Macaca fascicularis: one gene and its partner. The protein of the gene in region 2 purifies or fractionates together with the protein of the main gene of each other region. This does not show direct contact. Links are inferred from orthologs where the notes say so. Each region holds a gene or a part of one and is shown on either strand. Other genes may lie near its edges.

Region 1 (4,274 bases), on a different chromosome or scaffold from region 2:
GCGACAGGGCCTTGACCCAACCCTCCATGGCGGCCTGACTCTCAGCGGCCAGCACGTAGGTGCGTGCCCGGGTCCCCGCGAAGCGCACGGCGAAGGCGAACTCCTCCGCAGCCTCCACCAGCTCCACGGTGCAGCCCTCCAGGATGATGACGCCCACAGGCTCGCGGCTGGCCGCATCCTCGAAGTAGAAGAGCATGTTCCCGCGCAGGACGAACCAGCGCCGGTGGTAGGCTGCGTGTCGCCCGCCCTTCTTGTACAGGAAGCCTGCGTTGTCCACTGGGGCGTCGCAGGTGGCGTAGAAGGCCAGGCTGCGCTCGTTCAGCTTCATGGCGGCAATCGCCGGGCCTGGAGGGGAGCCCGGGGCCTGGACCCCATGGAAGGGCTGTTACGCACAAGGCCACTGATGCTAGGTCACCCAGTGCCCCGATGGGACCTTGCGGCCACTCTACATCCCCGTTTCACAGATGAGGAAACTGACACTCACAGGGTGGAAGCAGGCAGCCCATGTGCCCACAACTCCTAAGGAGCAGAGACAGGACTGGAACCTGGGTCTCACCAGCCTCCCCAGACAGCCTCATAACCTCCTGCCCTCCTGTATCCCTGAAATAATGTTGTGAGTTCCTGCCGCATGCCAGACATTTCAGAGGGATGAACTCACTTGATCTCACAATAGACCTTAGGTTACAGGGACTGGCCTGGCTTGGGTTCAACAGATGAGGAAACAGGCACAGAGAGGTTAACTGCTTCCCCGGTGTCACAAAGCAGGTTGGGCAGGGCTGAAATCCTAACCCAGGCCTCATTTCAGACGCTGCTGTTTCCATCATCCCAAGAACAAGACCAGCTGGCCTTCCACAGTCCCTGCCAGGTCCCAGCCCTGACTGTGGTTCGACCTTGGTTTGTCCGTCCATGAAATAGGGATATGGGCGGAACCAACTTCAGAGACTTGTAGAGATTGACTTCATTCATGGAATGTTTATTAAGCATCTACTGTGTGCCAGGCACTGTTCCAGGCCTAGGGATAGAGCAAAAACAAGATGGACAGGGTCCCTGCCCTTGTGGTGTTGAAATGCCACTGGCAAGTGAAAGGGAGCAGACAGTTAACAGATAAGATGTCTGCCAGGTAGTCTCATGTCCTGTGGAAAATAAGACAGGGGCTGGGCGCAGTAGCTCACGCCTGTAATCCTAGGGCTTTGGGAGGCCAAGGCCGATCCTTCTCACCTGAGGTCAGGAGTTCAAGACCAGCTTGGCCAACATGGCAAAACCCCATCTCTACTAAAAATAAAAAAAAAACAGCCAGGTGTAGTGGTGCACACCCATAACAGCCAGGTGTAGTGGTGCACATCCCAGCTATTTGGGAGACTGAGGCAGAAGAATCGCTTGAACCCAAGAGGCGGAGGTTGCAGTGAGCCGAGATCACGCCATTGCACTCCACCCTGGGCAACAGAGCAAGACTCCATCTCAAAAAAAAAAAAAAAAAAAAAAAAAAGCCAGGCCTGGTGGGGAGTGCCTATAATCCCAGATACCTGGGAGGCTGAGGCAGGAAAACTGCTTGAACCCAGGAGGCAGAAGTTGCAGTCAGCCGAGATCGCACTACTGCACTCCTGCCTGGGGACAGAGCCAGACTCTATCTCAAAAAAAAGAAAGAATCTGGGCAAACATGCAAACCCAGGGTTAGGCTGACTTACAGGAAGGAGGGGCAGGGGGGCGTCCCATGCCATTTAGCATAGAGGACTCTAACTCCATGCCGTCAGCCACAGTGACCCCATTCACTTTCCCCCAAGGAGTATACGATGGGGCAATGCTGGCCAGGAAGGACTTATCGGGAGGTGGCATCTGCGTCCCTGGCCTGGCCACCTTCCCTTGGGGTTTTCCACGGCCATTTTAAGAGCCCACCTTATCTCCCACTGTAGAGCCTCAGCCTGCATAGGATGGTAGCTACATTTTTCAAGAGGCAAAGCATATAAAGTCCTGGTACGCAGTAGGCACTCAGTGTTCATTGCCCTGCCTGGGTGGCGTCTTTCTCAGAGCCTGGTGGAATGAGGTCAGGGTGGTGGCTCTCCTAGGAGCAGCTGACCGCAGTGAGGCCCTGTCGGACTACCTGACCTAGGGTGGAAGGGGTTGTCCTTGCCACCTCCTGTCACCCACACAGGCAGTCAGGGAAGGCTTCCTAGAAGAGGGAACATGAATTGTGACTTAGAAACTGAGAAAATGCCCATCAATGATAGAGTGTATAAAGAAAATGTGGTATATATACACCATGGAAAACTATCCAGCCATAAAAAGGAATGAGATCATGTCCTTTGCAGGGAAATAGATGAAGCTGGAAGCCATCATCCTCAGCAAATTAACACAGGAACAGAAAACCAAATACCGCATGTTCTTACTCATAAGTAGGAGTTGAACAATGAGAACACGTGGACACAGGGAGGGGCAGAACACACACGGGGGCCTGTTGGGTGATGGGGGTGAGGGGAGGGAACTTAGAGAACAGGTCAATAGGTGCAGCAGGCCACCATGGCACACGTATACCTATGTGACAAACCTGCATGTTCTGCACATGTATCACGGAACTTAAAAAAAGAAACTGAGGTCAGTCTGTCCTGACCTAGTGGGGGGCCAAGGCCAGAGCCCCCAAAGTCTCCAGGTGTTGAATCCCCACCCTGCCTCTCAGATACAGCTGTCCCTCTCTAAGCCACAGGGATTCACGCATTCCCCACACCACCACCCATCAACTCCCATGTGGATGCTGGCCCCAGTTCTCACAGGACCCTCCCGCCCCACTTGCCCAATTTCGCTCCTACCTCTCAGGCCACCACTCGCCTCCCTGCCCTCTGTTCAGCTCCAGCCTCAGCTTGCTCTTCTCTGGATTCAAATGTCAGCTCTGCAGCATCTGGGCTGGGGAACCCCAGGCAGGCTATTAACCTCTCTGGGCCTCCGTTTCTGCATCTGTAAAATGAGATCGTAACAGTGCCTAAGTCAGGGCTGTTGTGACAATGATACAGTGACTACACGGACTTTGCGGAGCACGGGGCCAGGCACACAACGCCTGCTGAGCACAGCTGCAGTTCACATTCTTCTTGGCTTTTCCCCAAACGTCCCCGTGTCATACTTCTGATCTCAGCAAATGGCCCTTGGTTTCCCTCTCACCCCCACATCTGATCACATATCAAGTCCAGTTGATCCCGCCTCTCCAGCGTCTTCCAAATCAGTTGCCTAATCTGTCCACTCCACCTCCCCATTCTAGGCCCCATCACCATTCACTGGAACGGCTGCTGTAGCCTCCACACAAGTCTCCTTGCCCCCCCGTCCATGTTCCTTAAGGTAAGATCCAAGCCTCCTTCCTAGGCTCTTCTCCGAGCCACACTGAAATCCACTCCCCACAGAGGGATCCTGTGAAAATTAAGTCCAATCACACTCCTCCTCTGCTCTAAACCCTCCCATGGCTCCCTACTTCTCTCAGCATAAAATTAAATCCTTAGGCAGGGTGCGGTGGCTCACACCTGTAATGCTAGCACTTTGGGAGGCTGAGGCCGGAGGATCGCTTGAGTTAGAGACCAGCCTGGACAACACAGCAAGACCCTACCTCCACAAAAAATAGAAAAAAAAATAGCTGGGCATGTTGACACAAGCCTCTAGTCCTAGCTGTCTGGGAGGCTAACATGGAAGGACCCCTTGAACTTGGGAGTGATCATGCCACTGCACTCCAGCCTGGGTGACATAGTGAGATCCTGCCTCAAAAAAAAAAAAAAAAAAAAAACAGTCCAAGCCTCCCATGGCTTCCAAGTTCCCTTTTCCTACCTCTTTCCCCCTTGTTCACTCAGCTCCAGCCATCCTGGCCTCCTTTCTGTTCCTTAAATACACCAGATACATCCCCACCTCCAAGACTTGGTCCCGGCTGTCTGCTTGCAGGTCTTCACAAGGCCAGTTCCCCATCCTTTGGTCTCAGCCTAGCTGTCACCTCCTCAGAGAGGTGGTCCCTGGCCACCCTATGCATAAGAGGCCCTCCAGTCCCTCTCCTGTGCCTCCACCTGAAATTATTAATACCTGGGTCATTTTTGCCTGCTCTAGGAAAGCTGGGGCGTTTGTGGTGTGAATTCCAGTGCCAGGCATGCAGTAGGTGCTCACATAGCTGTTTGATTCATTCTGCAGGTATCTTCTGAAACTTCTCAACGGCCCCATGACAAGGGGTCTCACCCCACATTCACAGATGTGGAAATGGACACAGGGAGGTTTAATAAGTTGGCCAGAGGCATACAACTGTGCCCAGAATCACA
Region 2 (3,812 bases):
ATACTGATTTGTGTGTGTCTCTATATCATAAACGGTCTCATATGTATGTGTTGGTCTACAACTTGATTTTTTTTTTTAAATCAGCAGTGTGTCTTGGAGAACCTCCCATCTTATTACATAAAGACCTAGCTCATTGTACTTTTTTTTCAAATTCCTAGTTTCGTCAGTAATTTCCTTTACTAAAATGGATGTGTCAGGTCGTGAATTCTTTGGGATTTTTCCCCACCTCATTATCCTTGATTTGCCATTAAGTGCTGTGATCATGATAACCTGCTGAGAAAAAGTTTGATTTTATTGAGTAATCACCCCATGTTTTGGATTCTTGGGCATGTTATGATTAGAGGCTTTAAAAACCACACTACATTTTCACCACCATTGGCACCAATGACTGTTAACAAAGGAGCCGAGTGCACCATGGCTAATTAATTTCAGAAGACTTTCTGTGGGCTGGCTGAGATAGAGCTGGGATAGGGTTCCAACCCTGCACTTGGTACTGTGATCTGTTGCATTGGTTCTCAGACTTCAGTGGATGTAAGAATTGCTTAGAGAGCTTTAAAAAAAGTGTGGATGCATGCGTCCCCACCCCTGGAGACTGTGATTAGTAGGCCCAGGCAGCTGTGCTTTTAAGACATACTCAAGTTGATTCTGCCACATATCTGGTATATTGGAAAGAGTCTTACACTAGTCCAGATATCACCTTTGGTATTAACTGTGGCAGTGAGCAAGTTTGTTGATTGTTGTGTATCTTAATGTTCTCAACTCTCAGAACAAAAATATTACTTGCTTTGGTAGCCTTCCAGGTTGTGAAAATTAAAAGACATGTGCAAAATACTTTTGGAAATTAAAAGTTGCAAAGTTTTGTAAAAGTATAAAATTCATCTTAACCTAATGCTATAGTATGGACCCTGGTGATGGTAAAATGATGTTTGATCCTCAGTTCTCTAAGAGTTACAGTTCAAATACGTGAAAAACTTCCCCAGTCTGAGATACTTGACTCAGCTTTGATGTTCTTATTTTCAACATTTTTAAAAATTTTTATTTTACTTTAAGTTATAGGATACAAGTACAGAACGTATAGGCTTGTTCCATAAGTATATGTGTGTCATGTTGGTTTGCTGCACCTAGCAACCCATCATCTAGGTTTTAAGCCCCACGTGCATTAGCTATTTAACCTTAATGCTCTCCCTCCCCTCGCCCCACTACCCCGAGTGGCCCAGTGTGTGTTGTTCCCCTCCCTGTGTCCATGTGTTCTCATTGTGCAGCTCCCACTTATGAGTGAGAATATGCAGTGTTTGGTTTTCTGTTCCTGTGTTAGTTTGCTAAGGATGATGGCTTCCAGCTTTATCCATGTCCCTGCAAAGGACTTTTTTTTATATTTTTTGAGATGGAGTCTTGCTCTGTTGCCCAGGCTGCAGTGTAGTGGTGCAATCTTGGCTGACTTCAACCTCCGCTTCCTGGGCTGAAGGGATTCTCCTGCCTCAGCCTCCCAGTAGCTGGGATTACAGGCACCCACCACCAGGCCTGGCTAATTTTTTTTTGTACTTTTAGTAGAGACAGAGTTTCACTGTCTTGGCCAGGCTGGTTTTGAACTCTTGACCTCTAGTGATCCTCCTGCCTCGGCCTCCCAAAGTGCTAGGATTACAGGTGTGAGCCACTGTGCCCAGCCTGAGCTCATTCCTTTTTATGGCTGTATAGTATTCCATGATGTATATTTGCCACATTTTCTTTATCAGGTCTTATTATGAATGGGCATTTGGGTTGGTTCTATGTTTTTGTTATTGTAAGTAGTGCTGCAGTAAACATACGTGTGCATGTGTCTTTATAGTAGAATGATTTATATTCTTTTGGGTATACACCCAGTAATGGGATTGCTGGGTCAAATGGTATTTGTGGTTCTAGATCCTTGAGGAATCGCCACACTGTCTTCCACAATGGCTGAACTAATTTACACTCCCACCAACAGTGTAAAAGCGTTCCTATTTCTCCACAGCCTCGCCAGCATCTGTTTCCACATCTTTTTAGAACCTTTGCTGCATGTGTCAATTTTTTTTGACACGGATTTTTGTGAAGTTTCCTAGTCTAAAAAAGAAACCGATATCTCAAGTTAAAATCTGTTAGTTATGTTAATTTTGGCATTGGTTTGTATGAAGTTTTAATATTTAAAAAAAACACGGCTATATCAGGAAGCTGAAAGTGCTGTGTCAGGTGGGAATTTTTTTATTAATCAGTCAAGATGTGTTTATCCGTTGTCATGGTTTTACTCTAGTCTAGGACATTTTGTTTCAGCCATTTTCTAAAATGGCTGTAGGCTCCATTTATTAATATATCTTTGCTATTATATAATCTGAGCAGTGATATTACACTTCTTGGTATTGTACATAGAATCTAATAGAGTTAAAAGCTTTTTAATCATATTTTCTCCCACCCCACCAAGTTATGATTGTTAGAAACAGTAATTGCTGTGTTTCGACACCGTCATTTTGTACAGTGCAAGCAATCATTTTTACCACAATCACATTTTTTCCACTACCAAATAACAATGAAGCAAGAAAATGTTCTTCCCAAATATTTATTATTGCCAAGCTTCTTAACATAGGAGTTTAACTTTTACAGGACGTTAGCCAATTAATCTTACCTTTACCTTAAAGCGTGTGCTTCTATAATGCTTTGTTCAATTTATGTTTGCTTTAGAGGCTCTTGGAGATATAAAAGTTGAGAGCATGTAAAACTAAAGCAAGGATCTGTTTTCTTTCAGGTGAAAGTTGTGGATGAAGCAAGATATGGAAAGTGTTTGAGGATGTTGTTTGCACCACAGTTTATTTTAAATGGTTGCTGTAATGACCAGTTTTAAATTGTTAGATAATCTCCAAGGCAGATGAGCTAGAAGCATATAAGACTGAAAAGAGGATACATTTTCTTTCAGGTGAAGGTTGTGGATGAACGAAGGTACCGTAAAGTCTTTGAAGATAGTGTACGCATCATGGACAGAATGGAAAATGACTTCCTTCCTTCCTTAGAACTCAGCAGGAGGGAGGTGAGCCAAAATACATGATCTCCCTGTCTGCTGCCCACTGTGGTTAGCACAGAAGAAACTGCTGCTTAGAAAAGGCAACATAGCACAGTAGTTAAGCCCATGTCGCTGGAGTCAGACTGCCTCCATTCCAGTCCTAGCACTGCTGTTTAGTAGATGCATGACCTCAGGCAAGTGTCTTACCCACTCAGAGCCGCAGTTTCCTTTTCTGGATTAAGGGGTAGTTGTAAGGATTACATGAGTTAATACATGCGAAGCTCTCAGAACAGCACCCGGGACATAGTAAGCCCTCCGTTGTTAGCTGCTCTTGTTTAATATTTCAGAGTTGCTAGTTAATTTATATCTCAGAAACCAGGACTTGGTCCCAGGATGAATACTCTGAACCAAGGTTGGGTTACCCTCTTAGGATCCTAGGAATGATCAGAGTAGCCTGGAGAAGTAGCAGGAGCCACCTAACTCCTTCTCTGCTGGTGTGAGTATAATAATACATGCAAGTGGATGGTGTGAAGTTGGTTCAGTTGGTGAATGTCTATGGCATTTGCACACCTGCTTAACAATTACCTTACTCCTCATATCCTCTATGGAATAATCCAACTGACTTACTTCCCCTACTAGTGATGCATGTTTGTGTCTGTCTGTTATTCCCCAGTTTGTGTTTGAAAATGTGAAGTTTCGGCAACTACAAAAGGAGAAGTTCCAGATCAGCAACAATGGACAGGTTCCCTGCCATTTTTCTTTCATCCCTAAACTTAATGACAGCCAGTACTGCAAGCCATGGCTT

The links.
Region 1: the proteins of OCRL (region 2) and PHETA1 purify together in Homo sapiens (co-immunoprecipitation; 5 studies listed by BioGRID and IntAct, counting the BioPlex papers as one, with this or other methods). This does not show direct contact. The link is inferred for Macaca fascicularis from reciprocal best matches to the Homo sapiens genes OCRL and PHETA1.

What each region holds. Positions count from the first base shown.
Region 1 is NC_088385.1:118,251,744-118,256,017, forward strand, and holds the start of PHETA1 (sesquipedalian-1), read right to left. Parts: upstream 2,925-4,274; 5' UTR 2,802-2,924; intron 365-2,801; 5' UTR 329-364; coding exon 1-328. UniProt on the Homo sapiens protein: Plays a role in endocytic trafficking. Required for receptor recycling from endosomes, both to the trans-Golgi network and the plasma membrane.
Region 2 is NC_088395.1:135,844,101-135,847,912, forward strand, and holds part of OCRL (inositol polyphosphate 5-phosphatase OCRL), read left to right. Parts: intron 1-2,923; coding exon 2,924-3,034; intron 3,035-3,680; coding exon 3,681-3,812. UniProt on the Homo sapiens protein: Catalyzes the hydrolysis of the 5-position phosphate of phosphatidylinositol 4,5-bisphosphate (PtdIns(4,5)P2) and phosphatidylinositol-3,4,5-bisphosphate (PtdIns(3,4,5)P3), with the greatest catalytic activity towards PtdIns(4,5)P2.